4 linked regions of the Elephas maximus indicus genome follow. The main gene of each other region encodes a partner of the protein of the gene in region 3 in a complex. Links are inferred from orthologs where the notes say so. Each region holds a gene or a part of one and is shown on either strand. Other genes may lie near its edges. The genes, in order: TMEM231, TCTN1, B9D1 and TMEM107.

Region 1 (7,515 bases), on a different chromosome or scaffold from region 3:
AAAAAAGAAAATGTTTCCACTTTTGGGAAAGAAATACATGCACATGGAAAGCAAGAAATACAGTAGGTATACAGTGAAAAGTAAGTCTATCTCGACACTGACCCCTCATCCACGGTCACGCTTCTCCAGAGGTATTATAATCTCAAATAATAAAAACCGGCAATATGTCATGATTATGAGGAGCTATTCAAAGAAATTTCTCCTAATCCAGTCTTATTTTTAAAAACAATTTTAAAAAAGCAGACTTCCACCTATCCCACCAAAGGCAAATCTTTGATCTCATTTATCTGATTATTTAGAAACACATCTCCATGTCTATAAATAACATTTGCCATTAGTACTTCTCCATTTCTCAGTTTTAGGCATTCTCTATTGACTTTCCACAAGGAAAGGTAAAGACTTAGCTTTTTCGTTCCCCTATCCCACTTCTACCAGCCCCACCACATACCCATACCTTTCTCAGTTAAACTGTTATTTTGGTTAGTCAATATAATTATGATGCTGTAAACCCTGTTCAGGAGCCCTGGTGGCATGGTGGTTAAGTGCTCAGCTGTAAAGCAAAAGGTTGGCAGTTTAAACCCACCAGCTGCTCTGCAGGACAAAGATGTGGCAGTCTGCTTCTGAAAGATTACAGCCTTGGAAACCCTGTGGGGCAGCTCTACTCTGTCCTACAGGGTCTCTTTGAGAAGAATGGGTTTCGTTGGTTTTTCTGGTAGAACACTGTTCATAACTCTAATTACTTTTCCCTTCCTCACTTTTCTTACTTTTTATTTCCCCGAAGTTAATAATTATTGTATTTGCTTATTTAATTTTCTATGTACTTTTCTCAATTTCAACAAACAGCTTCTATTCCAATTCCTCACGATTTGGCATTTAAAGATGTAAGAGGTATTCTAAATCTTGTTCTTTGCAGTACTGACTCTTACAGTGAAAAATTGCAAGCAAATCAAATATCCATCAACAGGGAACTGGCTAAATACATTATAGTTTTTCCATATAACGAAATAATTTGCAGAACTTAAAAGGAATAAGGTTGATCAACAAGTACTGATACACATACCAAACTGAGCCTTTCATTTTCTGTCAGGTTATACCTGTAACTCCTTTATAATATTTTACAATGGGCAAGCATTTTTGAAATCAGAAGAAAATGTGAGAAAAATTTATAAAGTAACCACAAAAAAAGACAAACAGAACTATATTTTGTTTATAGTTATTCATATGACAAGACTTTTTTCTTTAATTTCATCTTATTGAATTGCTGGAAAAAAGTCTGAATTTTTTTTTGTCAGCAAATTAAAACAAGTATTTTTTTTTTTTTTTATAGCTCCTAGGCTCTTATTTCAGAGGTGTCCAGAGATTCAGCTTTCGAAAAGGGAAGACCAGAAGTTTCACACATCTAAAGGAAGATGTTCTCAGAAGATGAGTGGAAAGGGTTGACTGCAAAGGAAGCGCTCACTTATTCTGAACCAAATACAGGTACTCCCCAGTTTACAATGTATTCCAGCTAGGAGGAACCACACTTACCATCCTTTTCTTTCTTTCTTTTTTTCGTATATCTCACCCATTAGTAAACGTACTACATACAATGCTGCAGTAGCGTAATTTGCCGATGTTATCATTCTCATGCCAATCCCAAAAGATAAATAAAGATCAGATTTATAAAGATACAGATAATAAAAGGCAATAATAATTGGGAAAAAAATTAAGTATTCGACTTATGTCAGAACTGACTTCATAGGAATGGAACCCCATTCTAAGTCCGGGACTACCTGTGTTACATTGCCATCCCGTTGATTCTGACTCAAGGCAACCTGTTTGGTGAGTGGAACTGCCCCCATGGGGTTTCCGAGGCTGAATGTAACTCTTTATGGAAGCAGACTGCCAGCATCTTCTGCGGAGCGCTGGTGGATTCCAAACACTGACCTTCTGGCGGGCAGCTGAGCGCTCTAACCACTGCGCAACCAAGGCACCTTTGTACTACTTTACAGACAGTAAATGCTTCTTTTCGTGCAGATAGTGCTGGATGGTGCAGCCTAGGAAGGTGTGACTTAGCCAGCAGCACTCGCTGGGATGGTCGCTTAACCAATCAGCGCCTGGGCAAATACCTGATCTTTCTGCGGCTACGGTGTTACGATGTGCAATTACAGCGACAGGATGGGGTCATTAATACAAAGGCACTGTCACGGCCACCCCTCCATCAGGCCAGGTCCACAGAAGTAAGGAGATCTAGAGACAGACTGTTGGCAGGCTTCTGGCCCCAAAGTTCCCTGAAAGCAATGACAAACTTTTCCAGCGGTCGTGGACCTCCTGGAGAATCAAAACGAAACATTATCTATCTACTCGCCTGGAAATTAAACGTAAGCTCAGGCCCACGAGCCTGTGTAAACAAGTATTCGCGGACCCTTAAGACCCAAGCTGGGCTCTCCTCGGCCAGGGGTTGCTCGTCCCCCGTCGCCCCTACCCTCACCTCCCGCCCACTCGGGGTGGGCCGCAGGGCAGGGGCGGAAAACACGCACCGAAACGAGCGGGACGCGCAGGTGGTCCCCCTGCAGCCGGTTGAAGGCGGGGAACGTGCTCCAGGCAAGGAACCCGCCGCGCTCCGGTCCCAGCAAGGCCACAAGCAGTACCTGGTGCTGGAAGCGCACGGTCGGCTGCTCTTCGTAGCTGCTCCGCTTTAGCCAAAACCCTGAGGTAAAGAGGGCGGAGAGGAGGTCAGGGCGGCTTGCCCAGGCGCGGGGAGCCGTGTTGCGCAGCGCTTGGGGGCTGGCTTACCGTGGCTCCGAAAGGCCACTAGCAGCGGGGGGACGTATGTGAGTGCGGCGGCCAGCAGCAGAAACAGCGCGGCCTTGGAGCAGAGCCCAGCGCGGTAGCTGCGCTCGGCAGGGTGAGAGAAGAGCTCGTAGAGCGCCATGAACGACGTGCGGGGGTCCGCAGCACGCTGCGACCTCGCGGAGATTCGAAAGGGAGGAATAAGTTTGGCTTCTCCCGGTTGCCATATTCTTGGTCTCCATGGCAACCGAGGGGTGAAACGAACCAATAGCAAGGAGGCAGTGATCTGTTAGGGGTGGGGCTAACGGCAGGCGGTGCTTTTGGTGGATGGTCGACTTCGCTTTAACTGTGGCGTTCTTTCTAAGGCTGAGTGGAAATAGGATGTTTCCATGTACCAAAATTTTAATTAACCGTCTGTGTTAACATTTGTGTAAAATAGCATTTTCATAAAGGATGACAAAAAATACTTCGTTATGAGCCATCTGTTTAAGCCCCAATGTGGTTTATACTAAAGTGCAACCACTCAGAGCACACTTTGCGTTGGAGGAAAACGCACAGGACGTAAATGTGGCTGCGGTCCTGGATCTGGTCCTGGGTTAAGACCAAAGCCACGTTCTTTTGTCTCCAAATTTTCCGTGCCTTCCACTCAACAGCCAGACACAGAAACAGAAAGACAGAAATCCCACACTCTTCGAGGAATAAAGGATAATTATTATGTTAAAACAAAGATCATATTAAGCCAATAATAGAAATTGATTTCAAGTTTATTTAATATAAACCCAAAACCATTTTTTAATGGTTTTATTTAATATAATATGATTTGTAAATCAGGCAACACTTCTGATAGTCAAACTGTTTCCAACGAGAACAGAACTTCCAAAGATAGTTATATCCCATCTTATGGACACTGTCATGGAAATGACCAGAACAGTGTTTTCATAATAACAATTTACCCTAAAACACAGCTTCCAGATCCACCTTGGAGCTTCTATTTATGGAAACTGAACTCTCAAAAGAGCTCAACCTCCAAGGCAAAATGGTCTTTACTAATTGGCAAGACTATTTGGCTTAAAGGTGACTTCTAGGAGACCAGTTTGTTCAAGGCTGAAGATTCAAAAGATCACATCAGAGCAATGGCATGGGTGTGGTCACCCCAACTCCATGTGTTACCAGAATAAGGTTCCTGCCTCTCACTGGTCAAGAATGAGCAGGTAAGGCACGTAGTTTTCCACAGGAGCAAAGCTTTATTGAAGAGGCCTGCAAAGAGAGATGAGGAGGGCCTAGGGCAATGCTGACCCTCCTCTTACAGAACAAAGGACAGGCCCGAGTTTTTAAAAAGTTCTTCGGTGGGAAAAGATTCATGTTTATTCATAGGCACAGGCGGATATATATTAACTAAGGTGCACGTGCAGTAGCTTTCCAAGATGGCTCCTGTCCAGGAGGCCTCTGGGATTGTAGCAGGACTTATTATGGGGTGTCACACCTGCACAGTCTCTCTCATTCCCTGGGTTCGATTTCCCAGCTAGGCTGTAGCTCCTCACTGTCCCTGGTGGAAGGTCACACAGTGGTCACAGGTGCATGTTCTGCTCAAGTCTCTGGGCTTGGTTTTCTCCAGCTGCTTCTGAAAGGCAACTTTAAAGAAGTTTGTGGGCTATTTTAAAATACCCTGCCCCACTGTTCTAGGGAATAGCTTTTGTTTCTGTGCCCTGGCCTATTTCCTGTTACTTTGTTTGCAGATTTGGGGGCCCCTCTGTTCCTTGTCTTCTTGCTAAGTCTCTGGGTTCCACACTTAACCTCCTATTACCTCCCTTATCGTATAGTCTATTTCTTTTACTTGTTTCGCCTCTAACCACACCAGTCTCTTTGCTATTTTTCAAACAGGCACGCTCTGATCTCAGGGCCTTTGCTCCCTGTCTTACATGCACCCTAGAAATCTGGGTTCCGGGAGAATTAAAAACCGTGCTCTCTGGTGTACTTTGCTACCTCTTTTTAAATATTGGTTACAAGCTTTGCTAGCCATTGGTTTACTCCTTAAATGAATTTTTTTTTTTTCTAACCAGTGTTTTGGACATGGCAGAAGGATTTTTAAAAATTATTTTTGTTTATTGTAAATAACAGTTCACAAGAAGGATTGATGAAACATTTAAAGTTTACATGCACACATCCTGTGAGGTGGAGAACAAAGACAACGGTCAAAGTGAAAACAAAACCGAAAATAAATAATACTCTTCTTTTTAATCAGGGGAATGAGACCAAGGTGAGTTTTGTGGTTGATTATCTAGATCAGAGTTTGGCAAACATTTTCTGTAAAGGGCCAACTAGAAAATATTTTAAGCTTTGCGTGTCTACAGTCTCAGGTGCAACTGCTCAACTATGTGATTGTAGCGTGAAAGCAGTCATAGACAATATGTAAACAAATGCGTGGCCATGTTCCAATATATTTATGAACATTGAAATGTAAATTTCATATAATTTTCATGTGTCACAAAATGTTACTAATTTTTTTAAATCATTTAAATGTTTTTTTAAATTCTTAAGCTTGTGGGCTATACAAAAACAGGCACCAGGCCAGATTTTGTCTGTGAGCCGTGTTCTAGGGTAAAAACATCACAAAGTTTAGTAAAGCAAAAAGAAAGTTTTATTCGGCATATGTTCAAAGAGACAAAAGTGGGAAACGGACAAGCATGCTGTCTGCCCGAGTCCAAGGAAATATTACAGAATAAGCAAAAGCGGGAAAAAAGACAAACATGCTGCCACAGCCATGTCTGCCCGAGTCCAGGGAAATATTACAGAATAGGCAAGAATGGGAAAATGGACGAGCTTGCTTCTAGAGCAATGTCTGCCAGGTCCCGAGAATATTAGAGTCATCAGTATATATTAACATTACAAACGGGCAAAACCATTGAAAGCTTCACCTTTTCACAGATTAGCTAGAAACTGTTACCCTATATTTTGAATTGTCTTTCTTAACAATCCTTGGCACAGGTTTCAGTAAGGACGGTCAGGAGGGTCTTCATTGGTCCAACAAATTTTCTATTCACTAAATGCTAACAGAAGAAGAACGAAAACTCCTCTGTGTTCTGTTTTATGATACGTTTATGTGAAAGTTTCCCTAAAAGATATTTTCCAAGAGTCTTCTAACATCTTTATACCTCAGGGACCAGTTAATGTGTCCTTGTGAGTCCTTGTGAGTCTACTCCAGCTGGGTCACATTCTAAGACAGGTAATAACAGCTCCAATATTATCTCCTAAATCAGCTGTAGTTTGCTAACGTTGAACTAGATACTTACTTTACTTCTTTCATTGGTTTATTATGTCAGGGTTGAGAATAAATAACTTACAAAGATGCTTTATAATAGTGTCGAGAATCATGAAACTATTATTTTGTCTTTTTGACTTCATCTCTTTAAGGAAGAGAAGTGACAAAAGAAATCAGTTCCTGAGGGTACTAGGAGGTGGTGGTAATGGGTTTAATCTTTCAAGAGGTGTTACAAAGATCTCCAGCTTTTAATTCTGATGAAAAGACATGGTCCTTATTTTCCATTAGATCTTTATGTTATGCATTGAATTGTGCGCCCCCGCAAAATATGTGTCAATGTGGTTAGGTCATGATTCCTAGTATTGTATGGTTGTCCTCCATTTCATGATTGATGTAATTTTCCTGTGTGTTGTAAAAGCTAATCTCTGCCTGTGGTTAATGAGGCAAGACTGTGTTATGCTAAAGAGGTTTAGAGTAGAATGTAACATCCTTACTCAGTTGCATCCCTGATCCAATGTAAAGGGAGTTTCCCTGGGGTTAGGCTTGCATCACCTTATATCTTACAAGAGATAAGTGGAAAGAGAAGTGAGCAGAGAGTGGGGGACCTCATACCACCAAGAAAGCAGCACTGGGAGCAGAGCCCATCTTTTGGACCCAGGGTTCCTGGTGAGAAGCTCCTAGTCCAGGGGAAGAGTGATGACGAGGATCTTCCTCCAGAGCCAACAGAGAAAGAACACCTTCCCCTGGAGCGGGCACCTGAATTTGAACTTCTAGCCTACCAGACTGTGAGAAAATAAGTTTGTCTTTGTTAAAGCCATCCACTTGTAGTATTTCTTTTATAGCAGCACTAGATAACCAAGACAAACTACTTAAAAATATATATATATATATTTGTTTATATATAAACGAATGATCCCGTCTACTGACTTGCTTTTATTGTGATAAAAAATATATACATATATATATAACAAAACTTTGCTAATTCAACAATATTTACACCCATCCATTGACTTTTAAAAAAGTCAGTAATAGTCCAAGTATTTTTTTGTTGTTGTTGTTCTTCTTTTTTCCTGTCCCCTCCTGCCTTCTAGTCCTTTCCCCTGGGCTGGTGTGCTCATTTAGTCTCATCTTGTTATATTGGCCCCAAGTATTTTTCTTTGCTATATCAAACACATAGTAGAGCCTCTTAGCCATAGCAGTGCCTTGGGCAGATTTATATTTAGTTGAAAACAAGTCTAAAGTTTCTAATGTTGTGATCTTTTTGAACCTTTTTAAAATTTTTCATTTTGGCAGAAGGATTTTTTTTTTTTTTTTTTACCATGATCCATGCCAAATTCTTCATCAAAAGTCCCTGCATACTAAGTCCATCCAAAGGGGAAAGAATAGTCTCTTCAACAAACGATGCTGGGACAACGAAAGAAACAATTTGGACCCATCTTCACACCATATATGAAAATTAACTAAAAATGGATCAAAATATAAGA
Region 2 (7,006 bases), on a different chromosome or scaffold from region 3:
CTGCGGAAGAGCTGCCTCCTCAAAGCAGAGTCAACCTTAATGACATGGATGGAGTAAAACTTTCGGGATCTTCATTTGCTGAGGTGGGACGGCTCAAAATGAGAAGAAACAGCTGCAAACATCCATTAATAATCGGAACATGAAATGTATGAAGTATGAATCTAGGAAAACTGGAAGTCGTAAAAAATGAAATGGAATGCATAAAGATTGATATTTAGGCATTAGTGAGCTAAAATGAACTGTTATTGGCCTTCCTGAATCTGCCAATCATGTTGTAGTCTACTACGCCAGGAGTGACAGATTGAACAGGATTGGCGTTACATTCATCGTCAAAAAGCATTTCAAGATCTACCCTGAAGGACAACACTGTCAGTGATAAGATAATATCCATACACCTACAAGGACGACCATTTAATATGACTATTATCCAAATTCATGCACCAATTACTAAGGCCAAAGATTTTTTTACCAACTTCTGCAGTCTGAAATTGATCAAACATGCAATCAAGATGCATTGATAATTACTGGTGATTGGAATGAGAAGGCTGGAAACAAAGAGGAAGGACAAGTAGTTGGAAAATATAGCCTTGGTGACAGATGATGCTGGAATTGTATGAAAGAATTTTGCAAGACGAACGACTTCTTCACTGCAAATATCTTTTTTCAGCAACATAAATAGGGACTATACATGTGGACATTGCCAGACGGGATAAGCAGGAATCAAATCGACTACATTTGTGGAAAAATGTCAGAAAAAGGCCAGGGGCTGACTGTGGAACTGACTATCAATTGTTCATATGCAAGTTCAAGCTGAAGCTGAAGAAAATCAAAACAAGTCCACAAGAGCCAAAATATGACCTTGAGTATATCCCACCTGAATTTAGAAACCATCTCAAGGACAGATTTCACACATTGAACATTAACGACCAAACGAATTGTGGGATGACATCAAGGATATCATACATGAAGAAAGCACAAGGTCATTAAAAAGACAGGAAAGAAAGAAAAGACCAAAATAGATGTCAGAAGAGACTCTGAAACTTGCTCTTGAACGTAAAGCAGCTAAAGCAAGTGGAAGAAAGATGAAGTAAAAGAGCCGAACAGAAGATTTCAAAGGGCAGCTCTAGAAGACCAAGTATTATAATGAAACGTGCAAAGACCTGGAATTAGAACACCAAAAGGAAGAACATGCTCAGTATTTCTCAGGCTGAAAGAACTGAAGAAAAAATTTTAAGCCCCAAGTTGCAATATTGAAGGATTCTATGGGCAAAATATTGAACAGTGCAGGAAGCATCAAAAGAAGATGGAAGGAATACACAGAGTCACTGTACCAAAAAGAATTGGTTGACATTAAACCATTTCAGGAGGTAGCATACGATCAAGAACTGATGGTATTGAAGGAAGAAGTCCAAGCTGCACTAAAGGCATTGGCGAAAAACAAGCCTCCAGGAATTGATGGCATACCAATTGAGATGTTTCAACAAACGGATGCAGCACTGGAAGTGCTCACTCACCTATGCCAAGAAATTTGGAAGACAGCTACCTGGCCAACTGACTGGAAGAGATCCATATCTGTGCTCATTCCAAAGAAAACTAATTCAACAGGATCTAGAAATTATTGAACAATATCATTAATATCACACACAAGTAAAATTTTGCTGAAGATAATTTAAAAATGGTTGCAACAGTACATCAACAGAGAACTGCCAGAAAGTCAAGAAGAGGATGTGGAACAAGAATATAATTACTGATGTCAGATGGATCTTGGCTGAAAGCAGAGAATACCAGAAAGTTGTTTACCTGTGTTTTATTGACTATGCAAAGGCATTTGACTATGTAGATCACAACAAATTATGCATAACATTTGGAAGAATGGAAATTCTAGAACACTTAATTGTGCTCATGAGGAATGTGCACACAGACCAAGAGGCAGTTGTTCAAACTACACGGTTTAAAAACATGAAAGGTATGCGTCAGGGTAGTCTTCTTTCACCATACTTATTCAATCTGTATGCTGAGCAATTAATCTGAGAATCTGGACTATATGAAGAAGACTCATTAACAACCTGCAATATGCAGGTGACACAACCTTGCCTGCAGACAGCGAAGAGGACTTGAAGCACTTACTGATGAAGATCAAAGACCACAGCCTTCAGTATGAATTATACCTCAACATAAAGAAAACAAAAAATCATCATAACTGGACCAATAAGCAACATCATAATAAATGGAGAAAAGACTGAAGTTGTCAAGGATTTCATTTTACTTGGATCCACAAAGTGCTCATGGAAGAAGCAGTCAAGAAATCAAACGAAGTATTGCATTGGGCAAATCTGCTGCAAAAGACCTCTTTAAAGTGTTAAAAAGCAAAGATGTCACCTTGAGAACTAAGGTGCACCTGACTCAAGCCATGATATTTTCAATCGCCTCATATGCAAGCAAAAGCTGGATAATGAATAACGAAGACCAAAGAAGAATTGGTGCCTCTGAATTACAGTGTTGGTGAAGAGTACTGAATGTACTATGGAATGCAGAAGAATGAACAAATCCATCCTGGAAGAAGTACAGTCAGAATGCTCCTTAGAAGCAAGGATGGCAAGACTTTGTCTCATGTACTTTGGACATGGTATCAGAAGGGACCAGTTCCTGGAGAAGGACATGGTGCTTGGTAGAGGGTCAGTGAAAGAGAGGAAGACCCTCAACGAGCTGGACTGACACAGTGGCTACAACAATTGGCTCAAGCATAGCAATGACTGTGAGGACGACGCAGGACCAGGCAGTGTTTGCTTCTCTTGTACATAGTGTAGCTATGAGTTGGAACCGACTCGACAGCATCTAACAACAACAATCTTTATGGGAGCAGATCACCAGAGCTTCCTCCTGCGGAGCCGCTGGCTGGGTTTGAACCATCAATCTTTCAGTTAGCAGCTGAGTACTTAACCGTAGCACCCTGGCCACCAGGGTTTCTATTATACTTATTAGCAGGAAAAAAATGATACCTAATTTTAAACAGATTAGAAGCCATGACTGTAGCAATAATAATAATAACAACAACCACCAGCTCACCTCAGAAGACACCAAAGAATATGAGGAGTGGTTAACACTGCCTTGTGCCTTGCAAAAAAAGCCTTAACCCCCCCCACCCCCCACCCCCAGGTACTCCTGTGTCTTAGCTTTTTCAGGCTCCTCATATGCAACATTTTCCAAGCACAAAATTCCAAAGCTGAAATGTCTTTAGTCCTTCTAAGGCTGGCACAGACTCTAAGGAATTGAGAATGCCAATAACCCTAGAGAAACAGATGGACATTTTATATCACAAACATTTATGAATAACCCAGACACTGCAGTGTTGGAAAAATAGGGAACAGATGTTAACTTCTCTTTGTGTCCTTCCATCCAAATGAGGTAACCTGCTAAGGCCAGGGCGGAAGGAAGGGAGAAAGGATCCTCTGGGATGAAAGATGAAAAAAGCCTGGCTCAAGAGGGTATCACCTGACAGAAACAGGTCACTTGTGAAATGAAAGATCCAGTTTTCCTAAGATTTGCAAAGTGTATCTGAGTTGATGTAACCCTTATTTCGACTTGGTAAGATGTCATAAAACGACTTTTTGGTTATGTACTGACTGAGATTGGACAAGAAGGTATGATGAGATTATTTCCCAAATTGTGTCCTAGTTGGAATCATAGGATGTTAGACTTGAAGAGGAACTCACAGGTCATATAATCATGAAGATAAAAAAAAAAAGAAGTTAAAGCCAAAGAGCACTTCATCAAAGTCTAATGCAACAACAGCCTAAAATTTCAAAACAGAAAACAGGACAAAGTGATTCACAGATGTTAAGCAATAAAAAAGAGAGTGAAATCCTGGAAATGAGGAGAAGGTTTAAAAAAGAAAAAGTCCTCGATTTAGCAATTATGAGATGGAGGTTTGGAAAAAAAAATTTTTTTTTTGAGGGAAAGTTTCATCAGTTATTAAAAGTGGTTCAGAATTTCAGTCAGATGCCAAAGCAATGCTATGAAGAAAAAGTTGGAACTGTGTGCCACCCATGAGTGATCCAGCTATATTTTTCTACGCTTTCTCCGGAATGCCACAGGAAGGTGCTAAAGATGTTGCTTTGATGATTTAGTTTTGCTATATATATATATTTTTTATTTAATAAACTAGGTATATGTGCTGTTTTGGCATCTTTCTGAATTGGTAAATAAATGTTTCTTGAATAAATACCATGATACGTTTAAGTATTTCGACATCTGCTTCTTAAATGTGAGATTATTTGTCCACGGTATAACTAACCTCCGTGGGTTCGGGTCCCCTCTGTAAATAAACCAGTTTAGGATGAAGGGACTTCCCTCTAAGTCTTGTGGTCTCTTTATCACTTTGTAGGATTACAGTTGATTTGCTTTGTGTTTTAAGACTGAAAATCATTCTATTTAATTTTTGTCAGTTAAAAAAGTCATTAAGTGTTCATTTGTCCCCCTTACCACAGAGCGGTGGACAGAAGTTACTTGGAGACCTCTCGGGATGCGTCTACAACAAAAAAGGGAAAGGCTGGGTCGAGCGCGTTCTGGATGGAGAGAATTCAAGGACGGTGGTGCGACGCCCATACTTCTTCAAAGGACTCGTATTTCGTAGCATCAGGACAAAAAAAAAAGAAAGCGGTTGCCAAAGTTCCGTCCCCTCACCGGTGGCGTCAGGGCACTTGTGAAAAATCCTGATTCCAGGACCCTGCGCGACGCCAACCCAATCAAGGTCTCCTGGTTGGAACCCGGAAATCTGCATAGAAGAGCCGCAGTCGAGCTGGAGAACGACAGCTGGGATTTCCCCGCCCCTCGTTTCCGCCATGTCGCGCGGCTTCGCGCCCTCCTTCCCGTGATGCCCCGCGTTCGGCCACCGCGGTTGCCAGGCAACGCGCTGTCCACCGCAAGGACCGCGCGGGGGTTCTGCAGGGCGATGGGGCCGCGGGGCTTCCAGCCGCTCCTGCTCCTGCTCCTGCTCCTGCTCCTGGGCTGCTGGAGCCCGGTGAGGGCCCAGACGGGGACCACCCCGGCGGTGACAACGGAGGGCCTCAGCTCCACCGAGGCAGCCCTGGCGACTCTCGGAGCCTCCACGCCGTCTGGGCCCCCTGCCACTCCCAGGGCGCGGGGCCCCTCTTCCGGTCCCCGGCCCACCCCGGTCACGGACGGTGGGTACCAAGTGCCAACTCCTGGGCTCCACAGTGATTCAGCCAGGAGAGGGTAATGATAATGATGATAGCTAAAGTTTACTGCACACTCAGTGTGTGCCAGACATTGCCGAGTGTTTCACAGGCGTTATGTAATTTCTGCCAACAACCCTGAGAGGTAGATGATAGGGTCCCCGTTATACAAATGAGGAAACCGAGGCTCGGAGAGCGTAATGGTGCAAAATCAAATATTTTAAAGCACTAGCAGAGCTCTTGGGCAATATTAATGTTAAAGGTAATAAATACTGAATAAAGCGTTGCAGCCTTCCAGCGGCAGATGAAATTTAATCAGAAGTTTCTAGACAGTTGTGGAAATTAAATGGATGGAATGTGTTCGGAGTTTTTAGTTGTATTAAAGAGACTCCAAAGGTCTAGTTTTCTAAATGTCAAGGCCCTCGTCTATCGACTTGAATTCTGAAAACTCTGGATTCCTCTTTAGTTAAGTTTGCCATGGGAAGATATGGGGTGAGGGATTTTGCCCACTTTTTAAGATTAATATGTAGAGCTGATTAACATTTCTCAGAAAGTGTCCCTGGAATCGGACAGTTACATGTTTAGTGAGTATTTTATAATCTGATTTGCCATGGATGACTTAGGGGGTGTCTATGACCCCCTGAGACTGAGTGCAAAATCTTGTGAACACGCATTTTTCTGGGATGAGGGTCCCTAGCAATCAGTAGATCTTCAAAGGAGTTTAGACCTCTAAGTAGATAAATAGCTGGATAGGTTATCTGACTGTGAAGGTTGAAAGAGGTGTGCAGTAGGTTTTATCCCCACTTAAGAAAACAATACTTTTTCTTAAATTGAGTAAGTCTCAGTACTAACTAGAAAAGTCATTATTGGCTGGCATTCTGAACTCTAGGACTTAACTTTAATAACTGAACTGTTATTTCTCCAAGGGGCCTCCCTTATAAATCATGAGTGGTTTGTCTGAAAAAGTATGGTGAAGTATAGTTGTTTAATAGATATGAACAGAATTCTGTTTCATATTTAAACTGTTGATTGGTGAATTAGTAAGGAAGTGAAATCAGTGATAAATTGTGACAGAATACAGCAAAGTATTCAACACCCAAAATTCTCCAAGGTTTTTGGAGCTGGCTTGTCTTTTATCTACGTTAGTCCTCCACCTGTTAATGTGCTTTCTCTCCCAAATGAAGCTATTCTTGAGCCGTCATTATTAGGGCTTGGGTTCAGGGCTCTTTTTGCCATTATAGGGGATTAATTTATACCGATCGTCATCTTTTTAAAGAATACTTTAGGCCTGTGACAGTAATGATAAATGACAGTCATGTATTAACAGCTTGCTATGCGGTGGAGCCCTGGCAGCACAATGGTTAAGTGCTATGGTTGCTAACCAAAAGGTCAGCAGTTCAAATCCACCAGCCACTCCTTGGAAACCCTATGGGGCAGCTCTACTCTGTCCTATAGGGTGGCTATGAGTTGACATCAACTCGACAACAATGGGTTTGGTTTTTGGTTTTGCTATGTGGCAAGCACTGTGGTAAGCATTTCAGCTGTGATATATCTCACTTCACCCTCGTAACAACCCTATGACGTTATCACTATTTTTCAGATAGGCGAAGTACTTGCTTAATTTAAGGCCACATGGCTGGTAAGTGGTGGAGCAGAAAGCTGGCTCCAGTAGAGAACTGGACAGCCATTTGCAAAACTGGTTGCAGCCAGTGTTGGTGGAAGAGAAGAGTGGTAACTGTTCATCTTGAATCTGAGCTCTGCTCATTAGTACCCTACTCTACGATGCAGGCATGTAGACATTAAGAGGTGTG
Region 3 (7,662 bases):
TCTGCAGTCTTTACAGGAGCAGATCTCCAGGTCTCTTCTACCACAGAGCCACTGGGTGGGTTCAAACCACCAATCTTTCAGTTCACAGGCAAGCACTTAACCATTGTGCCACCAGGACTCCTTCTGGCCTCTTTACTGCTCCTCAAAAGGCTCTCCTGCCACAGAGAGAGCCTTTCTTTGCACTTTTTGCTCCCTCTGCCTGGATGGTTCTTTCCATAGATTTCCACATGGCTTGTTCCCTCACTTCCTTCAGGTGTTTATTCAAAAGCTACCTTCTCAGTGAGGCCTTCCCTGACCACCATGTCTAGATTCCTAAACCCAAACCAGTCACTGTCAAATCAATTCCGACTCAAGGTAATTCCATGATATCAACCTCCCTCTTTGCCTTCATACCCTCCCCCCATTTCTGACTTTGTTTTCCCTACAGAACTTATTACTAACAAACTAGAATATTTACTATTTATTATTTTCTGTCTACCTACACAAGAATGTGTACTCCAGGAAGACAGGGACTTTTGTCTGGTTTTGTTCACCTCTGTATCCTTAGCACCCAGAAAACAAACAAAAAAAAAAAACCAAACCCATTGCCGTTGAGTCAATTCAATTCATAGTGACTCTATATGAAAGAGAACTGCCCCATAGAGTTTCCAAGGAGTGCCTGGTGGATCTGAACTGCCAACTTTTTGGTTAGCAGCTGTAGCACTTAACCACTATGCCACCAGGGTTTCCCAGAAGACTCTCAATATTTATTCGATAAATAAGTGAATGGAAAAAAAGTACTGTCATCTTAGTTGTACAGATGAGGAAATGGGAGACTCAGAAAAGTTATCTAAGCTGGGCTTCCATTTCCCTAACTGCTGTGAGGTATAAACAAGTGCTGTGCAAAGAGTAAAGTATGTGCAAACTGAAGACATCACTATAATCCCTCTCCTGGTGGAGAGACTGTTCTCTAGGAAGCCTAGGAAGTGAGAGATCCTGTTCTGTCTTGTGACTCTCCAAAGTCCTCCCCATGGTCTAAGGAGAGGCCAAATGACGAGGGACTGGCCCAAAGTATCTACAGCTCATCCCTTCCAAGTTGGCACTCTGGAGCCTGCCTGCTGCATTGCACCTGTGTTCCTCTTTGCCACCTGCTGCCACACATAAGCTCACAGGACAGGGTACCTGAGTGAGAATAGTCTGGCGGTGGGGGTTTATTTGGTAGCCCAATTGTGGCTGTGTTCTCCAACTCCAGCTTTATCAAAAACAAACTCACGTTTGTTTCCAAACTCTGTCTCCCTCTAACTTGGTTCTGAGCTGGGAGGGGAAGGGGTATAATGGACACCTTCAGAAACCCCAATAATCACGAATGCTGTCAGCGAGGGAGGCCCAAGAGTTCAGCTTACCGCCGTGGGAGCCCAGTCCTGCCCGTACACGAAACAGTACTTGCAGTAGAGGTCGTCATACTCTGGAAACTGGAAAAAAGCACACGTGAATTCTGTTTACTGGGACTCATGTTGAGGCCCACCAACATGTCGGCTAGGCAGGTGCAGCCAAAAGGACTTCTGAACATGAGGCACCTGGGCCAGGGCCCAAGAGCCAGTTGGACACATGGATATGGCGTTCAGCAGAGAGGGCTGAGGACTGAACTGTGGGAGTCCAGAGGAGGGTTCCCAGCTGCTACAGCCCCTGGGCCTTTGCTCAGGCTCTGCTTTCTGTCTGATATGCTCTTCCCACTCCTTCATCTGGAAAACTGCTGCTCATCCTTCAAAACTTACCCTCCTGAAAGCCTGCCCTCTTGTCCAGGTTCCTTCAGCACCTGGGCTTTCCTCCATCAAAGCACTGATTGCCTGTCTGTTTGCCAACCCATTAGATTGTGCATAGGAAGCACAGGGTGGGCACAGAGAAGGTCTAAGGGGATAACGCCGAAGTGAAAGGTCTGAGAACCAGGAAGCCATCAGGACACATGTCATGAGGAAAGACCCAGCCCTGCTGAGAGCCCCTGATGGGATAGAACAGGAGAAAGGCAGAAGACAGCATCAGGTGCTAGACCAAGGGGGAGGTGGCAGGATGGGTGCATGGGGCAGAAGCATCCATGAGGAAACTGAAGGTAGGAAACACCTAGTAAGTATCAGGCCCTGGGCACAACTTTACCTAAAACATCTCATTTAATCTTCACATATAAACACCATTTCCAATACCCCATAAGGTCACTGCTAAGGTGTAGCAAAGCTTTGAAGTCAGACAGACCTGGATTCAAACCCCAGCTCTGTCACTTGTAACACAGGGATGTTAATAACACCCATCTCACAGTGTTGTTGTGCTGAATGAATGGGAAGGGCTAAGGGCCACGTCTGGTGCAGAGTGAATACCTGACACACATTGGCTTTTATTATGATTATTAACGTTTTTATAAAGTGTTGGGAGGTGGGGAGTAGCGTCCCTTTGGTATGACAGACACACCTCCCTGGATGATTCCTGGCCACCACCACCGTCGTTGGCTAGGGTTACCCAAATCATCCCCACTCCAGTCTGAGTTCCATGATCTGAGGCTCACAGACGCCCCGACTCGGTCACGGGCGGAGGAGGCCTGTGCGCCGGCCCAGTTGCCCCAGTGACGCCCCGTGAAGCTCCTGCCCGTGATTCAACAAGGCCAGGGGTCAGAGGCTTGACCAAGCGTCCCCCTGGCACGAGCTCAGCCTCTGCAAGCCTCAATTTCCACGCTGCGCATTAGGAACGCCTAGCATCGTTGCGCCGAGCCCCTCACACGCCGGTTTTCCTCCCCCGCCTCACCAAGGGAGACAGAAGCTCCGAGGAACGACAGGCCTCGCTGGACCGCAACGCAGCCGGAGGGGCCGAGGGGCGTATCCCCGGGGGAGGCTGGGGAGGGTCCCGGTCGCTCACCTGGGCGCTCTCCACCTGCCCGTTGACCATGAGTAGGAAGACGCTGGGACCCGGCGCCGCCATGGCAGCGCGGGGGGCACCGGGAGCCGACCCTGGTTGCAGCGCGGTTGCTAAGAGGCGCTGAGGTTACCTTGGAAACAGACGGCGTGGCGCGCGGGACATATTTCTTCACTAGTGCGCGTGCGTGGTATTGCGCAGGCGCAGTTAGCGGACGCTGCCGGGAGAGTCGAGGAGGGTACCGTGGGGCTCAATGTGCTGGGACTACGGTGTCGCCGCCTATCAGTGCGAGGCGGGGGCCAGGTGCCTAGGACAGGGTCGGCTACCTGGGCTCTGGAGGGACGTTACCGAGCTGAGGCCAGGCAGCGCCCCACATCGGGCTAAGGTGGTACCCGCTTGTGTTTTTAAACTCTCCTCCCAAAAATGTTTATTAAACAAACTAAGCCACCACTTCTGAAACTAGGGAAACTGAGGCCCACAGAGGGGCAGTGCCTGGGACTAGAGCAGAATCTCCGACCTGTGAGGCTCTGCTCAAATGACAGTTCCTCTTAGGCCTCTCTCGTCCTCTTGCCGTTAACCATGGTTTCTGTTTGTACGTTTATTGAGACTCATAATTTGGGCCAATGCTTATCTCCCCCTCTAGACTGCCAGCTGCATGAATATGGAGACTGTCAGTCTGGTATCCCCATTGCCTGACACATAGCAAGCACACAATAAATACTTGCTAAATGAATGAATAATTGAATATGTCCCCATTTTACAGAGTAGGAAACAGATTCAGAGAAGGAAGGTGACTTGGGCAAAATCACAGCAGTGGAGGCCCTGGTGGCGTCGTGGTTAAGAGCTAACCATAAGGTTGGCAGTTCAAATTCATCAGGCATTCCTTGGAAACTTTATGGGGCAGTCCTACTCTGTCCTTTAGGGTCACCATGAGTCAGAATCAACTCGACAGCAACAGGTTTGCTTTTTGGTTTTAGGTGGCTGAGCCAGGACGCAAACTCACAGCTCCACAGACTAGAGACCCTCACCGCCCCCTCTGCCTTGTCCTGGGTCACTTCTTGGCTCAGCATCTGAAGTGGCATTAGAGACCTCCCAAATCCAGGAAATGAAAGGATGCACAGGAGTGTAGACTTTGGGAAGCCAGACCCTGAGTGGGCTGCCAGGTCACCACCCTGCTCAACAGCCAGCTGCCAGCTTAGGAGCACACAAGGGGGCTCCTGTCAGTCACTGGTGGAGGAGAGGGAAGGATAGGTTACAGCCCAACCAGCTGAAGCCCTGACCCCAGGTAAACAAAGATACCTGATTGGGGAGAGGGGGCTGTGGGTAACCAGGGTTTATTCATGTGATAGAGGCTGGGAGCTGCAACAGGTGGGGGCTGCACAAGTAGGAGCTGTTCAGTTCCTGGGCACTTGGCCGCACACCACCCCACCCCATGTCACACCCTGTCTCTTCCTTGTTAATATGCTTTCTCTGACAAATTTTACCAGTCTTGCCCAACTCCTTCCCTTCTGTGACCTTTGAGACTCAGGACTGTGCCAAAGTTAGTTTGCAGCTAAATGCTTGAGATGATCAAATAACCAGGGGGCTTCTGTGCTTTAAAACCTGGCCATGCCAAAGCCTACTTCACATTTGAATAGGACACAAAAGGGGGACTTCCCCCAAGGGACAGGGGCCTCTGGGGTGGCCACCAGAGGTGCAGAGAAGCCCAGCTCCCTGGGTGTTGGTGAATGGGAGATCCCAGGGTAATGTGGAGTCTACTCTCTTTAGGAGGAACTGGAGGGAGTGTTAAGGGATCTTAGGGGTTTGTTCAGGGCTCAGCTGGAGTCGTTACCACAAGTTCAGGTGGACCAGCTGGGGCCTGGTGCACTGAGAGCCCTCAAGTAGGCTGACATCCAGGGTGGGACAGTCAGGCTGGAGGCGAAAAGTGTCTTTGCAGTTGCTGGGGGACAGTGGCCTCAGCAGCACACTGTGCAGCTCTAGGGGTGGGGCATACGGGTCTGTGTGGGGATGGGGGCCCTCAGCCGATGTGCCCAATATGGCTGTACTGGTGGTTAATGGATTGAGATGCTTCTCCACCAGTGGGCACATAGCTCCTGCCCTGGTCTCCCTGCCCCAGGATGTGCCTCCTGGCTTCTACTCCTCGACTTTCCTCTTCTACGTCACCCAGCACAACCCTGCCCTCCACTGGACTCCTGCCTCACAATCTCCTCAAGCTCATGCGATCTTGAGCACCCTGGGGCAGGGAGTTTGGGGGACAAGCTGTTGCCTGGTAGGTGTCAGACATCCAGGCTGGAAGCTGACTCAGCAGAGCAGGAGGTCAGTGCCACCCTCCTCTGCAGCCCCCAGCACCACCCTGTCTGTACACCTCCCCAGGCCAGTATCCTCTGGCCCCCAACCATCCCATGCTTCCTCTCTCATCCTCACCAAAATCAGACTAAAATCCTTGGGCCCAGCAGGGAGGCCAGGAGCCAGAGAAAGCTCGGGAACCTCAGCATCCAGCAGCACAACGGAATAACGGGGTCCATGGTAGGTGGTCTGGGGTCCAGGGTAGAACCCAAGGCAGGCTTCAGGGGTTACTATCCCCAGCCTGTCCCCAGCTTACTAAGTCACTGCCCTACTCTAGGCCTCCATGTAGTCATAATAAGAGGAGGGTGATGCCTGGATGACCTCATTCTCCTGTTAAGTTGGGCCTAGGCCTGGGAAGGTCTGGGGGAATCTCTGGCTCTCTGAATCCTGCCTCAGGGGCTGTACCTTTCCCCTTTGCCCATGAAATTCAAGGGAGGAAATGCATGCAGAGGCTTCTTCCAGGGGTAAACTGGCCAAGGGAGCTGTAGAGAAGTGAGTCAGACAGCCCTCGGCTCCAATCCAGACTGCCCCTCACAAGCTGTGTGACCTTGGGCTGAGGATCTAATTTATCTAAGTCTCAGCTTCTGAGGAAATGGGGATTATAAGGCCCCTGCCTACCAGGTTTTAGTCAGTGGTAGCAACAATCTCCCATGAAGATGATGGGAATGCATTTGGAGTCCAGCTTGTATTGCTGAAAAACACTGTAGATATTTAAAAACCATTTGTCCTTTCTGAATGACGCTATAAACAAACCAGACTTAATAAACATATGTAGAAAATTCCACCCTAAAACAGCACAATATACACTCTACTCCAGTGCACATGGATCATTCTCCAGGATAAACCACATTTTAGATTATAAAGCAAGTCTGGATATATTTTAAAGAATTGAAATCATACTTTCTCTGAAATCATATTTTCTCTGACCATAACAGAGTGAAACCAGAAATCAACAACAGGAAAAACCCTGGAAAAAACACAAACATATGGAAATTAAACAACACACTGTTAAAGTACCAATGGGTCAAGGAAGAAATCAAAAGAGAAGTCACAAATTTCTTAGAATCAAATGAAAATGAAAGCACAACATATCAAAACTTAGGAGTTGCAGCAAAGACAGTACTCAGAGGGAAACTTGTATCAGTAAATGTCTACATAAAAAAAGAAAAATGTTTTCAAATTAACAGCATAACTAGACAAGCTCAGGAACTAGAAACAGAAGAGCACGCTAAGCCTAAACCTACCAGAAGAACGGAAATGATAAAGACCAGAAATAAAAAAACAGAAAAACAACAGAGACAATCAATAAAACCAGAAGATGTTTCTTTGAAAACATCAATAAAATTGACAATCTTTTAGCTAGACAGACAAAGAAAAGATGCAAATAACCAAAATAAAAAAATGAGAGAGAGGACATTACAACTGACCTGATAGAAATAAAGAGAATTATGACTGAATATTATGAACAACTGTATGGCAACAAACTGGATAACCTGGATGAGATGGACAAATTCTTAGATGCACACAACCTTCCCCAACTGACTCAAGAGGAAATAGAAAGCCTCAACAGACTCATACAAATGAAGAGACTGAATCAGTGATCAAAAACCTCCCCCCACCCCCGAAAAAAAGTTCCGGACCAGATGGCTTCACTGTGGAATTCTACCAAACATTTAGAGAAGAATTCACACTACTGCTTTTTAAACTCTTCCAAAAGATAGAAAAGGAAGGAATGCTCCCCAATTCATTCTATGAAGCAAACATAACCCTGATACCCAAACCAAAGACACCACAAGAAAAGAACACTACAGACTAATATCTCTTACGAATATACATGCAAAAATCCTCAACAAAATACTAGCAAACAGAATCCAAGAACATATTAAGAGTCATACACTGTGACCAAGTGGGGTTTATTCCAGGAATGCAGGGATGGTTCAGCATTAGAGAATCAGTCAACATAGTATACCATTTCAATAGAACAAAGGAAAAGAACCACATGACCGTCTCTATGGATGCAAAAAAACATTTGATAAAATCCAACAGCCTTTCTTCATGACAATTCTAAAGATTGGAATAGAAAGAAAATTCCTCAATATGATTCAGGGCATATATGAAAAGCCAAGAGGCAATATTATACTCAATGGAGAAAGACTGAGAGCTTTCCTCTTGAAATTGGGAATGAGACAAGGGTGCCCGCTCTCACCACTTCTATTCAGTATTGTATTAGAAGTCCTAGCCAGAGCAATAAGAAAAAGAAATAAAACGTATCTAAATTAGACAAGAAGAAGTAAAATTATCTCTATTCACGAATGATATGATCCTATATATAGAAAATCCCAAAGAGTCCACAAGAAAACTTCCAGAGCTAATAGAGATATTTAGCAAAGTTGCAGGGTACAAGGTCAACACACAAAAATCAGTTAGGTTTCTATACAC
Region 4 (7,557 bases), on a different chromosome or scaffold from region 3:
TTTCATAACAAAAACTGAAAGAAGTGATCGCCAGTAAAATCAGATAGGAGCAATCAGGATGTTGCTGGTCCTGATTACGCGGAAACGTTAATCACGGATCATGCGAGCTCCAAATCATCATTTTAAATCTGCTCTCCAAAAGGAGAAACAGGTAAGGATTAACCTTACTGACGATAACCTGAAAACCTTACCCACTCCGCACTCAATGAAAAAAATTGCGCTTACACCTAGGGTGAGCGTAAAACTCATTCGCTGAAGCTACCTAACGTTATTTAAGGCTCCTCCGTTTCTGTAGCAATCTTTCTTTGTGGATTTTTAAATATACTTTTTTTCATTCGCTTCCGAAAAAAGAATAAATCAACTCTTCCCAGAATGCTCCGCGTAATCACTTGCTGAGCCGGAACAGTGGCATCCCCTTATTTACATATCCCCACCCACTCCCTTCCGCCAGATGTCTACCGTAATAACCAAAATAAAAGGTACTTACTGCCAGGCGCTCCTTGGAAACTCTATGGGGCAGTTACACTCTGTCCTACAGGGTCGCTATAGGAATCGACTCGACGGCACCGGGTTTTTTTTACTATCATACAGTCTGCAAGGCTGGAAAACAGTCTTCCGTTTCTTCAGTAGCTTGGCCACCCCAAATCTCCCTTGAAATTTTTATAACTCTTTTAAAAATATATTTTATTATGTTTTAGGTGAAAGTTTACACAGCAAATTAGGTCCCCATTTGACAATTTTTATACAAATTGTTCCGTGATATTGGTTACAATGTTCACAATGTGTCAGTATTCTCACCTTTACTTTTGGGTAAATGATAGTCTCATCTGGTTGATTTTTTTTAAGGGAGTACATTCCTCAGGGGTGATGTTGTTTGAAATTTTTAACACAAGTCTTGATCTTATTAAAAATATATTTTATTACAAAATACTACATAAGACGTGAATAATCCTAGACGCGGAAGATAATCATGCCAACGCTGACATCCTCCTCTAGATGCAGGTGCAGGGCGAGGACGGAAGTCTATGCCTTCCTGCTCCTGTTGCTCCAGCCTTTGCCCCTCCATTCCCGTCATTAAGGTGATCACAAAGGTTTCTTTTTCAGTCCAAAGACGGTGACGAATAATGCCATTTCAGTGACCGCTGGGAGGGCGCTGTGGGAGGTAGGTGGTGGATTCAAGGACCCTTAATAAAAATACCCAAATCCCCAAACCAGAGACCCCACCGCCAGCATGCAGTGGGGAATATTTCAGGATGTTGAGTGGATCTGGCATCTCACACATGGAGGACACCTTCAGATTTGAGGTAAACCTTCCTCTCCCATTCCCAAATACCTTACCTGCAGAAGACAAAAATGTACCAGTACGTGGTGCACTCCCAACGCTCAAATATGAAGAAGGATAGGGCCACGGATGCACTACAGTGTGCCCCGATGGCTTGGGCACACCCTAGAGTCAAGGAAAGCCTTGGGATGGCAGGTAGTGATGGGCCAGAAAAAGCCCGTGGTGGGGCTGGCACCTGTGCTCAGGTTAATCTCTAGCTGCCTCACCACACTGCAAGATCAGAGCCTGAAGCCTTCTGAGTTGTAGAACAGCCTTCTGAGTAGAAGCCAGAGGTGAGGCTGCACACCTGGGATCCCAGGCTACTCCCACCCAATCATTAGGGGGCAGCCTGAACCCTCCAGGTGAGGTAAGAGCAGGTTCCCCACCTACCCCCAGGCCACACAGGCATGCTCACAGCAGCCTGATGCTGTTAGCTGGAATCCCCCTCCACCTCCCTGGGACTCCTGGCCCACAATTCAGGTGTCAAGCCGCTCTCCTGATCCATGTCCCTCACTTCCTTTGTCTTCTCTGAGTCCCCATATTGCTTTATACCCTTCCACAATCCTACAGTGTAGTGCTGGTTGTATTGCATTACCTTCAAGGTAGAGATGTTTTACCCCCCTTTCTGGATCTCCAGTGTCTGGTGTATAGCAGGGACTTAACACATTAATGAAGACTGTATTAAATCCCTCATACTGTCTGTCTAAGAAGATCTCCCAACTGGAAAGATTTTGTCTGTGCCTTAGGACAAACACTATTGCGCCAGAAAAGCCTAGTCAGGCGGCTGGAAATGGGCCGTGTGGGAAAGGTGTGCAGGTGGAAAGGATACAGATGAGGCTCTGGGTGCTGTTGAACATGGAAACTCCTGAGAAGAAACCGGCCAACTCCACTGCAAAGAGGCCCAGGGTGACAGAGAGAGCTGCCACCAGCCTGTAAAGAGGAAGGGTGCTGGCTCAGCCCTTGAGGCTTTTTTCTAAGACCCCTCCACTCCGACCACCGCTTCATTCTGACCATCCCGCACAAAGAGCTCACTGAACATCCTGCTTCTCGTACTCCTCGGGGGTGAATGTGAGAGGCAGGCAGGCCTGGATGTTGCTGTCCTGGGGAGCCGGGCAGAGAGGAACAAAAGTGTGAAAAAGGGGCCGGCTGCGGGTCCGGCGTGAGGCGGCGGGGGATGGGGGAACCCCCGAAAGGGCCGATGTCAGAAAGTCCTAGGGAAGGGGCGGGGTAGGACTGGGACTATCCTAGGTGGGGCTAGGGGTGACAAGCGGGCGGCCGTAGGTCTTACCCGGGACCAGAATAAAGTGATGACGATAACCAGATGTGCCAGGAGCGTCAGGAAGCGAGAGGGCACGAATCCGGAGACCCGGCCCATGGCCCCCGGGGGCAGGGGCACTGGCCAGAGCAAAGGCCGTGGTCTCTGAAGCTGGAAGCTCTCAGTGGGTCCTGAGGTCCCCGCACCGCCCGCCCGCGCCCACCAGCGCGGAGAAACTCGTATTCCTCCTCCCCTCCCGCGCTGGCACCGCCCAGTTGCCTTGGCAACTGCGTAAATAGGCGCTGGGCCACGTTCTCTAGAAATCTCGCGAGAGCAGTAAATTCTCGAGCCGCCAGGGGCTTCCAGGGCAGCGTGGGTCCGAGATCCGCTGCAGGTGGTCGCGAGTCGGAACTGAGTTGACTGGCAGCTCCTCGATGGCAGCAGAGCCGTCTGCCCCTGAGACTGTGCCGTGTGGCGTGGCCTGGCACCGCCGAATCTACCCGGCCGGGCGGGCGAGCAGAAACCCGGCCTGCTCTAGCCCGGGGACAGCCCCTCGTCCCCAGATGCTCACACAGGGAACGACCTAGCCCCCAGCCCCGGCTACGGTGCGCCGGATGACCCACCACTGGAGACCGCTGCCACTGCCACGCCGGGTTTGGGACACTGGCGTGTATGTACAGATAGATAGACAAAGATAAAACAATGTCTGGGTGAAAAAAATAAAACACATGAGAATTCCTTGTAGTACTTTTGCAGTTTTTCTATAAATCATTTTAAAATACAAAGTTTAAACCAACACACCTTCCAACAACAAGCTATTTTGTAGATATCGACAAAATAATTCTAAGTTTATATGGATTGCTTTGTAAATTTTGATTTTAATTTTGTTCTGTAATTATGTTAAACATTTATGTGGTTGCATAGTGAAATCTACCAAAAAAAAAAGTACATTGAGAGAAGTCAGGCCTCCATTCGTGTACCCTCCACCCTCCATCTCAGGTAAACCATTTTATTAGTTTTTGGTTTATCCTTCCGTTAAAAAAAAATACATATGTACACACTATAGCCAAAAACCAACCCCAATGATTCCAACGCATAGCAACCATATAGGACAGAGTAGAACTGCTCATTGAATATACCATGGACTGACGGAAGGACAAACAAATCTGTCTTGGAAGAAGTACAGCCAGAATGCTCCTTAGAAGCAAGGATGGCGAGACTTTGTCTTGCTTACTTTGGGCATGTTATCAGGCGTGACCAATCCCTGGAAAAGAACATCATACTTGGTAAAGTGGAGGGTCAGCAAAAAAGAGGAAGATCTTCAGGGACATGGATTGACACAATGGGCTTAAACATATCTAATACTGTGAGGATGGCACAGGACTGAACGACATCTCATTCTGTTGTAGATAGGATCACTATGAGTCAGAGCTGACTCAACAGCACTTGACAACAACATCTATGAGGCAGATAGAAAACCGAGGCACAGAGCAGTGTATTTACCTGCCTGAGGTCACAGAGCCTGTAACTGATGACAGCACCAAAACCAAACCATACCCAGTGCTGTTAAGCAAACCCCAGTCTGACTTAAAAATCTGAGCTTTTAGCCACCAGACTCTTACCTCTCATCAGTCCTGACTATAATTTGTAATCATTTGATTTATTACTATACTCATTTATTATGTCTCTCCTACTAGAACAAAACGAATACAACAAATAAATGAAGTTCCCTTGAGGTCAAAGCCCAGGAGAGCCACTGCCATTCCGAAATGTGTGTAGGGGCTTGTGGGAGGAGGGGTAGTAGATCAGCAGCTACTCAGCTTCAATCAGTTGTCTTAAGGGAAACTGAGTCCAATGTTGCCAGATTCCTTGCTTGTTTGTTTTTTCTGAGAGACCAGAAATCCAGCTTCTTATTTCAATTCTAAATGTTGGTCTTCAATTTAAAAATGAAAAAAATAACCATGATGGCAATACAGTACACCAGGCTTCAACCTCTGGACCAGCACTATCCAATAGAACTTTCTCTGATGATGGAAATATTCCATATTGTCTATGTCTAATATGGTAGCCAGCTAGCTTCATCTGGCTATTGAACACTTGAAATGTGGATAGTGGGACTGAGAAACTGAAATTTTTTTAAAAAATTTATTGGGATAGCCCCATGTGGCTAGTGCCAGCTCTAGAAGTCTCTTTCTGTTAGTTCTGGGAGAAGGTCCTTGTCATCAGCCTTTCCCTGGCCTAGGAGCTTCTCAGCACAGGAACCTCAGGTCCAAAGGATTCAGCTCTGCTTTCTTGGTGGTATGAGGTCGCCCTCCCCACCTGTCCCCATCCTTGCTTCCCTCTTTTATATCTCAAAAGACATTGACTCAAGACACAACCTAATCTTGTAGATTGAGTCCTGCCTCATTAACATAACTGCCTCTAATCCTGCCTTATTAACATCATAGAGGTAGGATTTACAACACATAGGAAATTCACATCGGATCACAAAATGGTGGACAGTCACACAATACTGGGAATCATGGCCTAGCCAAGTTGACACACATTTTGGGGGGATACAATTCAATCCATAACAATTACCGATTTACAGATGTAGGCCCTGAGGCACAGGGAGGTTCCATAAGTAGCCCAAATTACACAGCTAGTAAGTAGCAAAGCTCGTATATAAATCCTAGCAACCTGGTTCCAGAGCCCACATACTTAACCACTATATTACTTGACCTTGTGGGCCAACCTTCATCCAAAAGGTGATGTGGCACTGATTTTAAGCTAAGGAGTGAGGGAATCATGTTTGAATTTTACAAAGATGATTCTCTTGACTATTCTGGAGGCAAGGAGAACAGAGAGGAGTCTATTACAATAATGGGTCAAAAGAAGCTGGGGCTTGTCAATGGGAAAGGAGAATGAGGACTGACAGGAGAATTATTAAGGAAATTGGCAGGGCTTGGTGGCTTATTGGAAATGGGAATTGCGGGAAAGGAAAGAGTCAAGGTTGAGTCCCAGCTTCAGCTTTGCCACTCACTGAGCGTGCAGAAGGACTGGGAAAGGATGACAGGGTCAAGTAGAGGTGTCTGAATCTAGAAGTGGGGTGGTATGGAGAGGGAGTGGGATCCAGGAGCCCTCAGCACACAGAGATAGCTGAAGCCAGGGAGCATGCATGGCTTGAGGAAAGAAGACAGAACTGGAAAATGAGGATTTAAGGTGAGGACAGAAAAAGAGGGATGAGTGAGGTGGGGCTGGGGGAGGAGCGGGTTAAGGGACGGCCAGCAGACAAGTGTCCTGACAACCAAGGGAGAAGAAGATTCTTAGAGGAGATGTTGTCCTGAGTCCAGTAAGGCCAGGCGAGAGGAACATCTGTGGGCTTTGACATTTCTGTGGTCCCTTAAAACTTTCGGTAGGGCCACTGTGCACAATGTGCAAAAATTTGGCTTGGAGGGCAAGGAGCGAGATACTGTATGACCTTCTCTCACATGTAAGCCTGTTGAACACCTCTCATCCTTCAAGACACAGTCGGAATTTCTTCCAGTTCCGGCTGTTCCTCTGCAGAAGTCCCAGCTCTGTCTAGCTACCCAGTTGCTGTCTTCTGACTGGTGGTGACCCCAAGTGTCTCAGAGGAGAACTGTGCTCTGTAGGGTTTTCAACGGCTGATTTTTCAAAAAGTAGAGTTGAACCTCCAACCTTTTGGTTATCAGCCGAGTATGTTAACCGTTTGCACCACCCAGGGACTCCTCCGTCTCCCTAGTGGAGCTTTAAAAAAATACTGAAGTTTCAAAACGAGACTAAAAGGGGCACACCAGCCCAGGGGCAAGATCTAGAAGGCAGGAGGGGACAGGAAAGCTGGTAATAGGGAACCCAAGGTCGAGAACGGAGAATGTTGACGTGTCCTGGTGTTGTTAACCAATGTCATAAAACAATACGTGTACTAACTTTTAATGAGAAGCTAGTTTGTTCTGTGAACTTTCATTTAAAGTACAATTTAAAAAAAATACTGACATTCATGGTGATAGAAATTAGAACAATGATCGCCTCTGGGAAGCGGGGGTGGATTGGGAAGGGATAGGAGAGAACTTTCTGGGGCGATGAAACCATCCTGTATCTTGAAGAGTTGTGGGTTGCGCAGGTGTATGATTTTGTCAAAATTCATCAAACTGCATTTCATTGTATGTAAATTATACAAAAATATCTACCCTGGACCATTTAAATCAGAGTCTCCAAGCCTGGGGCTTGTGCGTGGCTATTTTTTAACGCTCCGCAGGAGATTGTAATTTGCAGCCGGGGAGAAGGTGCACTGATGGAGGAGCTAATCTCTCACTTCTTCAGGCTCTGGAATGGCTCCGTCACACTCTGCCTGGTATCTGTCCTTCCATCCGTTTCTGGGCAGGTCCATCCCAGCTGGCCTGTGGTGACCAGCTCAGGCCCTCTTGGTTGTCTGCAGGACTCCAGCCAGAGTCGGGGTCGGAGGGACCGCTGAGCCTGGAGCCTGTAAAACCACTGCCCTGTCAGTGCCGCCTGCCTCTGCTCACCCAGCGGAATGGGCGGGAGAACGCAGGCACCACTTTGCGTGTTTTGACAAAGGAAAGAAGGTCCTCGGCTCTCGTGTCTAGGTTGCCAGCACGTTAACCGCCTGGCGGATCAGTGACCATAAGGAGGGCTGGCAACTTTCTCTCCCGCCGACCTCGTGGCGCAACGGTAGCGCGTCTGACTCCAGATCAGAAGGTTGCGTGTTCAAGTCACGTCGGGGTCAGTCGCTTTTTCTTAGCTTCATCACTTAATTTTTCTCGTTTTCAACTATGTTCAAGCTCGAGCGTGCAGGTCAGGGAAGAAGCACCTCGTAGGGGCCGAGAGGGCAGGGTTTCTGGCACAAAGTTCCAAGGCCGCACCGTCGGAGGAACACAACGATCTCGCAGTGGTTCTTCCTCGAATCCCGGTGCCCTAAGTATGGGCGGATAGCCCAGCTCCTGAGGCGCGCCGTCCAGAGCCA

What was found.
Region 1: B9D1 (region 3) and TMEM231 share a complex: the UniProt entries of both Homo sapiens proteins name them as parts of the tectonic-like complex. The link is inferred for Elephas maximus indicus from reciprocal best matches to the Homo sapiens genes B9D1 and TMEM231.
Region 2: B9D1 (region 3) and TCTN1 share a complex: the UniProt entries of both Homo sapiens proteins name them as parts of the tectonic-like complex. The link is inferred for Elephas maximus indicus from reciprocal best matches to the Homo sapiens genes B9D1 and TCTN1.
Region 4: B9D1 (region 3) and TMEM107 share a complex: the UniProt entries of both Homo sapiens proteins name them as parts of the tectonic-like complex. The link is inferred for Elephas maximus indicus from reciprocal best matches to the Homo sapiens genes B9D1 and TMEM107.

The regions. Positions count from the first base shown.
Region 1 is NC_064839.1:41,214,521-41,222,035, forward strand, and holds the start of TMEM231 (transmembrane protein 231), read right to left. Parts: upstream 3,008-7,515; 5' UTR 2,915-3,007; coding exon 2,776-2,914; intron 2,690-2,775; coding exon 2,520-2,689; intron 1-2,519. UniProt on the Homo sapiens protein: Transmembrane component of the tectonic-like complex, a complex localized at the transition zone of primary cilia and acting as a barrier that prevents diffusion of transmembrane proteins between the cilia and plasma membranes.
Region 2 is NC_064840.1:9,153,125-9,160,130, forward strand, and holds the start of TCTN1 (tectonic-1), read left to right. Parts: upstream 1-3,990; 5' UTR 3,991-4,098; intron 4,099-4,487; 5' UTR 4,488-4,873; coding exon 4,874-5,183; intron 5,184-7,006. UniProt on the Homo sapiens protein: Component of the tectonic-like complex, a complex localized at the transition zone of primary cilia and acting as a barrier that prevents diffusion of transmembrane proteins between the cilia and plasma membranes.
Region 3 is NC_064820.1:213,491,975-213,499,636, reverse strand, and holds the start of B9D1 (B9 domain-containing protein 1), read right to left. Parts: upstream 3,005-7,662; 5' UTR 2,944-3,004; coding exon 2,881-2,943; intron 1,452-2,880; coding exon 1,383-1,451; intron 1-1,382. UniProt on the Homo sapiens protein: Component of the tectonic-like complex, a complex localized at the transition zone of primary cilia and acting as a barrier that prevents diffusion of transmembrane proteins between the cilia and plasma membranes.
Region 4 is NC_064837.1:12,589,120-12,596,676, reverse strand, and holds TMEM107 (transmembrane protein 107), read right to left. Parts: upstream 2,830-7,557; 5' UTR 2,697-2,829; coding exon 2,610-2,696; intron 2,422-2,609; coding exon 2,354-2,421; intron 2,252-2,353; coding exon 2,151-2,251; intron 1,436-2,150; coding exon 1,339-1,435; intron 1,154-1,338; coding exon 1,084-1,153; 3' UTR 508-1,083; downstream 1-507. UniProt on the Homo sapiens protein: Plays a role in cilia formation and embryonic patterning. Requires for normal Sonic hedgehog (Shh) signaling in the neural tube and acts in combination with GLI2 and GLI3 to pattern ventral and intermediate neuronal cell types.